Linked DNA regions of Kluyveromyces lactis. The main gene of each other region encodes a partner of the protein of the gene in region 3 in a complex. Links are inferred from orthologs where the notes say so. Each region holds a gene or a part of one and is shown on either strand. Other genes may lie near its edges.

Region 1 (2,118 bases), on a different chromosome or scaffold from region 3:
GTCGATGAACGATGGAATATATCATTGGAAAGTTGAGAAAGAATGTTATATTCATCTCTGGAAATACTTGGTGCCGAGGACATCGAGTTCTTGGATCTTTTATCAGTTTTTAGGATCTTGGTCTGATCTATGAAACCTTCGAAACCATCGAAAAAATATATTTGAGATTGTTCATCAGATGTTTGGTCATTATTATCGCTCTTTGGCAACTTAGTCGGTTTGAAATTAGGGTTCAAGTTCAATTTCAGATGCTTATACTGCTGGATATCGTCGTATGCAAGATCATCGTCTATAATTTTATTCCTTTGAACTGTATTTCTGGTAGTCTTTCTTTGGGGTGATGGTTCTGCATTAAATGTAAGTTTTCTCCTAGGCGACTTATTAGGTGAGCTTTCATTAGAATCTATTTTAATTTTTAGATCCTCGTATTCGTCGTCATTGTGTATCAATTCATTAGTATCTGACACATAGTCAATGGCATCATCTTCCTCCAACTTCACCCTCTTGGTTGTTTTCCTTTGCCTTCGCCTGGGAGTTGCAGTATCTGTCGATGAGTGCTTCCTACTCTCTTCATCTTTATATTCAGTCTCAATGCTAACAGACTCTAATGTGAGCGATCGTTTGGGTGACTTAGGTCGTACCGTTTTGGAAGGCGAAAGAAAATCAAAACTTTTAAGTTTCTTCGGTGACTGATATCTTACTTTGGAAGGTGATATGAAAATGTCTTGGTGATTTACAATATCAATGTCTTCTTCTTCTTCCTCATTATCACTGCACTCTTTCTTCGTCATGTTTTCAAGGTTTAACCGCTCCAAGATAATCAAATACTCTAAAGTCTAGAGAATGGAAACTAACTTATAAATGTGGGAGTTGTTCTTCTATCAAACCTCGCCCACAGGTATTAACCCTATACACTATATTTGACATACAAACCTTAAATGTCAACATAAATATCGATTCAAAGTTAAAGGCATGAAGCTCTACTTTTTTTTTTCTGAAAAATTTCTATATGAGATGAGGAAAGAATTAAAACCTACTCTCAATAATTATAGCGATGAGGTTCATTTTAGAGTGTATGCGATAACGTGTTGAAGGAGCTTATGGGCAGGTAACGGTGCGTTAACGTATCGTGTTTGAGGAGTCTGACATTGAGAATTAAGTTGTAGGATGCTTTCGTTTTGCCCATTATGCAATAACATGTTGTTGGTATCAAAAGCTGATTCAGGTCTGTATAAACTAGCATGCGGATCATGCCCATACCAGTTTTTAATTGATGGGATAGAGGTATACGATAGAAAGAACCTCCCTAGGAAAGAAGTTGATGATGTCTTAGGTGGAGAAGGTGCATGGGATAATGTTGACCAGACAGCAGCACAATGTCCGAACCATGACCAATGTGCGGGTGAAAGAGCTTACTTCTTCCAGTTGCAAATCAGATCTGCAGATGAACCTATGACAACTTTCTACAAATGTGTTAACTGTGGTCATAAATGGAGAGAGAACTAGAGATTGTGTATTTTTGAAATTTACTTTGATTTCGATACGCATCAAACAAAATATTATAGATCTTCTTAGCAGTTATTACATCGCTTAGAGCAAAAAACTGACAAGAAGATAAATGTTCGGCTTTAATCGCTGCCATTTGTCTCTCGCCCAGCTAAAAACGCATGCTTAATCTTTCAAATGATGAAAGGTAGATCACGCTTTCATTAGGCTCGCAAAAGGAAGTTGTTAGGGTTTGATGAAACTTCTTCTGAATCAAAGTGTAATATAATGTATAAATCTACAAATAGATTGAACAAGACAAAATAAAAGTATTGTCGACGGCCTGACAGAACCATTTCGTGCAACGCTGTATGGTACTAACGACCGACTTGGTTTTTGAAGCGTAAGAAATTAAGATCATTAGAAACTAAGAATTAAATACATGAGACGTTACATAAATAAAGGCATTCAAACCCATTCAACAGGGTTCTTCAATACTTGGAGTAATTTATCTTCTCTAGAGTCTACTTCAGGATGATGGTCATACAACCACGAAGCAGTCACAGGCAAAGACATCAAAATACTTTCGACACGGGATCCTGGAGTTCTTAAACCGAATTGAGTACCTCTGTC
Region 2 (2,256 bases), on a different chromosome or scaffold from region 3:
AAAGCTTCCAGAAGTTGTAGAAGAGAACGTTGACTATTTAGTGATGCAAACTAATTTTACAGGTAAAGTGGACTGGCACGATTTGTTCATCCAATTGAAATCTCAATTCGGATTAAAATCCATCATGGTTGAAGGTGGTGGGATTGTTATCAATGATTTGCTACAGAGACCACACCTTATCGATGCCCTGGTCATCACCGTTGGTGCCACCTTCTTGGGTAGTGAGGGTGTTGAAGTGTCTCCTCTTATTGAAATTAATTTGAAAGATATCTCCTGGTGGAAGGGAACAAGGGATAGCGTGTTATGTTCACGTCTTGTGAGCCATTCCTGATCTTTACCTGTTTTCCTAAAAATTCGAATTCTTATATCAATGAACTCTCTTAATTCAGACATGCTATGTTCAAAACGTGATTAATCATTTCCTTAAATAATTGAAAAAAGAATCGTAATTAGATTATGATATCCCCTGATGGGTTCTCATACGAAGAGTGTGTTTAAGGCCCTATTAGTTTCTCTTGCTCTAATTTGGTCTATTATTATACACACGCATTTACTTTACTTAGGGTTGGGGAATGGCTCTTTTTAATTGCTCTTATAAACAGATTCTGTAACTTGCGTAACGTCCAGAAGTTTCAGACTTTCTAATAATTTTTATAACCTCGCCTCTTTTCAAACCAAGGTATAATGCTACTGGGTCCATTCTTTGGATTCTAGGCAATTGAGATTCCTTTAATCTATATCTTTTTAATAATTCCTTCTTTTCAGCCTCACTTAACCTGATATGCTTTGGGACTAGTTCGTGATGTGTAATATTGACAACCAAAGATGCTTCTGGGAAAGTCTCGATGACTGCTGGTGCTGCAGTTGGTAAAATCTTGTTTGCACTTGGAGTAATACCACTTTGATAGATGAATATACCAGTTTGGAAGTTCTTTTCCGTAATATGAACCACAAAATTCTTCATCGTCTTCACACCAACAGATGCTTCATCACAGAATTCCACCCATAATGAACCCATCTCAGGAAATTTTTCTATTGATTCTTCGGTTGGATTGGACTGGAAAGACATCATCTTACGTTGTGGCTTGCCCATAGAATCACAGTATTTAGCCTTAAAATCTTCTAAACTCAAATCTATTTCCTCCTGGGTAATGAAATATCCACGGTCCCTAACCATTTCCTTCACCGTTTTAAAAGCTCTCCATAGCCTGGAAATGTTTCTCTCCTGCTCTTGATCCATTGTTACAAAAATTGTGCGTCACTTGCCTTTGATATCTTATGAAACTAACTTTTTCCGCTTGAAGATTAGTTCGTATTAAATTCTAAAATGCACAAACAAGTACTAAGAACTCAATTATCGATATGCACAAACAAGTACTAAGAACTCAATTATCGATATGCAAACTAATCTTACCCCTTAATTTCAACCGGTACAAGGACTATTCGGCTACCTAACTTCAATCTTTTCTTAAATTTCAATCAACAAATTAATGGATTTGTTTCTCATCGCTTTCTAAATTTTGGAAAATTTTGGCTGAAAAGAAAAAGAAAAACTTCAACAAACCTTCGAAATTTCAATGCGATGAAAGAAGGAAACAGAGCCAAACCATCAAACTCGTCCTTCATGATTTCAGTCACGTGCCTGTCTTGTGTTGGTATGGAATGCTCTGAGTCAAGGGCGGCAGGTGTAGTTCTATGTTTGTATATATGTCTATATTTAGTTATATATATATATATTGATAAGCCTGGGTGAGAACTTAGTCTCACAGTCTCTCTTAATTTTAAGTCGGTTTACGTCTATATTCAAGAACAATGTCTGTGTTTGATTTCCAGTATAAAGTGCGTATAGCACTCAGGGTGATATCGTTTTCTAGTACTGTTCCTTTGCACAAGATTTCTAACCATTCGCTTGGATCTTCTTTGTTTTTCATCTCAGGTGTCTTTGATTCGAATCTATCCACTATGTAAGTCTTGATCTTTTTTGCCTTTATCATATTTGCAGCTGTTAATCTAACATTGCTATCGTTAATCTTCGGTAGCATTAAGGGTGATTCAGGTGGTTTAGATTTTTTGTGGAACCCTGATCTTTTATGTTCTACTACTAGTCTTTCAGCCTCTGGCGATTGTTGCGTTTCCTCCGATAAATGAGCCTCGTCCTTCCAAGGCTGGATGATGAATGTGATTTTTGGGTACGTCTTAATGACTTTATCCTCTTTGAAAAGAATCTTTCCAAGCCATATCGGGAGATGTCTTTCT
Region 3 (2,792 bases):
CGTCTTGACGGTAGCTTTGGGTTTATTCCTGGGTATCCTATACTATAATGTTGAAAACGATATCAGTGGATTCCAAAACAGACTAGGCCTTTTCTTCTTTATTTTAACGTATTTCGGTTTCCTGACATTCACTGGGTTAAGCTCCTTCTCTTTGGAAAGATTGATTTTTATCAAGGAACGTTCCAATCATTACTATTCTCCGCTAGCGTATTACATTTCAAAAATACTATCTGATATTATTCCATTACGTGTGGTACCACCTATCCTACTTGGGTTAATACTTTATCCTTTGGTTGGTTTAAATATGAATGATAATGGGTTCTTCAAATTTGAAGGTATTCTAATCTTATTCAACCTTGCCATCTCACTGGAGATTTTGACAGTTGGTATCATTTTTGAAGACTTGAATAACTCGATTATAATCAGTGTTTTGATAATCCTTGGTTCTTTGTTATTCAGTGGATTATTCATCAACACTAAGGATATTAACAATATTCTGTTCAAATATTTGAAGAACCTTTCAGTGTTCTATTACGCCTACGAATCTTTGATTATCAATGAAGTCAAGTCTTTGGTTCTTAGAGAGAAGAAGTATGGTCTCAATATTGAAATCCCAGGTGCCACTATCCTAAGCACATTCGGTTTCATCGTACAAAACCTAGTGTTCGATGTCAAAATACTAGCGCTATTCAATGTCATATTCCTAATATTCGGCTATTTCGCTCTTAAGTTGATAGTTATTGAGCAAAAGTGATCAAAAAATCATGGAGCTTATAAAAAGAGTGACGAACAGCCACTCAAACACAAAATTAGAATCTATTTAATACTGAAAGTTCATATATATTCAAAAGAATACAACTCTTATTACCGTAAGCCTAGTACAGGGAAGTTCATTTATTGATAGAAGTACTTTCATGTATCGGATCTCTTTATGTTCTCCATTGACTATATTGTGTGTATAACTTCCATCTGTTTGCCGCTTTTCTTTTGGAATGGATTCAAAAAAAAAAAACTGATCAAAGCTCAAAATAATAGCACGCGATGAGAAGAGGAATGGTTCAACTTATCGAACTAATAATTGATGAAAGAGTCAGACGCCTGACAAATTTACAAACTGATCTATTGAACCATTATTTAGGCCTACCTCTATTATTGTTAGGAACGCAAACGGTGTATTTTCCTTCGAAACCGATAATGAATTCGTTATTTAATTCAACAATAAAGCTCTCTGATCCAGCCAGAGAGCTGCATGAGAAGATGTGTTCTCAAGAAACTGGTAAATTGTTCTCTCAAAAAGAGTTAACTTCCATGTTAGACAACTGCTCGTTAAGTGATTTAATGCAATATGTTCAGGAACTTTTGGATAAGAATCTATTGAAGTTAGTGAAACAGAATAAAGAACTTAAGTTCCAAGCAGTAGATGCAGCTGAAGCAGAAAAGAAAAGCGGGATGAGCTCAGATGAGGCTCTTGTCTACTCATACATCGAAGCTAGTGGAAGAGAGGGTATATGGACGAAAACGATCAAGGCGAAGACAAATTTACACCAACATGTGGTTCTGAAATGTTTAAAATCACTTGAATCACAGAGGTACGTAAAGAGTGTAAAGAGTGTCAAATACCCAACCAGAAAGATATACATGCTTTACAATTTGCAACCATCCATTGACGTAACAGGTGGTCCGTGGTTCACAGATAGTGAATTGGACGTTGAGTTTATAAACAGTCTTCTGACCATCGTTTGGAGATTCACAGCGGAAAGAACATATCCAAATGGTTTTAACAACTTTTCCGACGAAAACGGTAGAGACGCACTCTATTCCAGTAACGTCAAAAGTTACACCACGATCGAAGAGATCCTTGAATTTATTTCTGAATCAGGAATATCTACAGAACAACTAACGAAACCAGATATTAGATCACTGTGCGAAGTTCTTGTATATGACGATAAGTTGGAGAAAGTATCTTTTGATTGCTTCAGAGTAACGTTGCAAAGTGTCTTACAGATGACTCAACCTGTTGGGGGACAACAAAGTTCGAAAAGAGAAGAATATTCTATATTCAGTCACGGAAATTCCATGGCAGCTTCCAGTTCAGATAAAGATGTCCTATACTTTGACGAATGGACGCTGTGAAGTTTAGATGCAAAGGTAATTTAGTCATAAAAAGAGTGTTCGTAATTGATGTATGTATATATGCCAAGAACTAATTACAAACTAATAATAAAAGCGTTCAACTTATGAGTCTGTTTTTTCTTTCTCAGTGGTTCACTGTGAAGGAGGGTATAACTCATTGAACACTTCTCCCACCATGTTGTTCATGTCAGTAGTTTGCAATTGTCTGCCTACCTTATCATAAGCAGCCCTGCTAGCCATTCTTGTTGCAGTAGATCCGATGAAACAAGATAGCATAGCCATTTTGGACCAAGGAAGATTTTCTCCGTTACCTTCTTCTACTATTGTTTCCAATTTGAAATCATGCACTGCACGAGAGAAACCAAACATGGTTGCGATTATACCGGTCAGTGTGTCACCCTGACCACCACATCTTTTCATAGATCCCTGAACGTCGTTTTCCCAACGTTCACCTTGAGAATTAACGATAATGTCATTTTGTCCCTTTGCAACAGTGATACATCCAAGCTTCTCACTAACTTTTTCCACCGAATCCACGTTCAACGCATTCATGATTCGCTTCAACTCGACTGCATTCGGAGTGATAACGACACGATTATCACCATACCCTTTCAATGCCTTTTGCATTCTTTCCGTATGGTTTTCAGAAGCTAAAAGGA

What was found.
Region 1: RPC34 (region 3) and RPC11 share a complex: the UniProt entries of both Saccharomyces cerevisiae proteins name them as parts of the RNA polymerase III (Pol III) complex. The link is inferred for Kluyveromyces lactis from reciprocal best matches to the Saccharomyces cerevisiae genes RPC34 and RPC11.
Region 2: RPC34 (region 3) and RPB5 share a complex: the UniProt entries of both Saccharomyces cerevisiae proteins name them as parts of the RNA polymerase III (Pol III) complex. The link is inferred for Kluyveromyces lactis from reciprocal best matches to the Saccharomyces cerevisiae genes RPC34 and RPB5.

What each region holds. Positions count from the first base shown.
Region 1 is NC_006042.1:1,707,707-1,709,824, reverse strand, and holds RPC11 (DNA-directed RNA polymerase III core subunit RPC11), read left to right. Parts: upstream 1-1,167; coding exon 1,168-1,506; downstream 1,507-2,118. Other genes in the region: ORC2 (origin recognition complex subunit 2), read right to left, coding at 1-791; HEM13 (coproporphyrinogen oxidase), read right to left, coding at 1,954-2,118. UniProt on the Saccharomyces cerevisiae protein: DNA-dependent RNA polymerase catalyzes the transcription of DNA into RNA using the four ribonucleoside triphosphates as substrates. Component of RNA polymerase III which synthesizes small RNAs, such as 5S rRNA and tRNAs.
Region 2 is NC_006042.1:1,968,562-1,970,817, reverse strand, and holds RPB5 (DNA-directed RNA polymerase core subunit RPB5), read right to left. Parts: upstream 1,241-2,256; coding exon 593-1,240; downstream 1-592. Other genes in the region: RIB7 (2,5-diamino-6-(ribosylamino)-4(3H)-pyrimidinone 5'-phosphate reductase), read left to right, coding at 1-331; DUF1 (Duf1p), read right to left, coding at 1,782-2,256. UniProt on the Saccharomyces cerevisiae protein: DNA-dependent RNA polymerases catalyze the transcription of DNA into RNA using the four ribonucleoside triphosphates as substrates.
Region 3 is NC_006040.1:383,695-386,486, reverse strand, and holds RPC34 (DNA-directed RNA polymerase III subunit C34), read left to right. Parts: upstream 1-1,041; coding exon 1,042-2,133; downstream 2,134-2,792. Other genes in the region: putative ATP-dependent permease ADP1, read left to right, coding at 1-754; NNR2 (NADHX dehydratase), read right to left, coding at 2,266-2,792. UniProt on the Saccharomyces cerevisiae protein: DNA-dependent RNA polymerase catalyzes the transcription of DNA into RNA using the four ribonucleoside triphosphates as substrates. Specific peripheric component of RNA polymerase III which synthesizes small RNAs, such as 5S rRNA and tRNAs.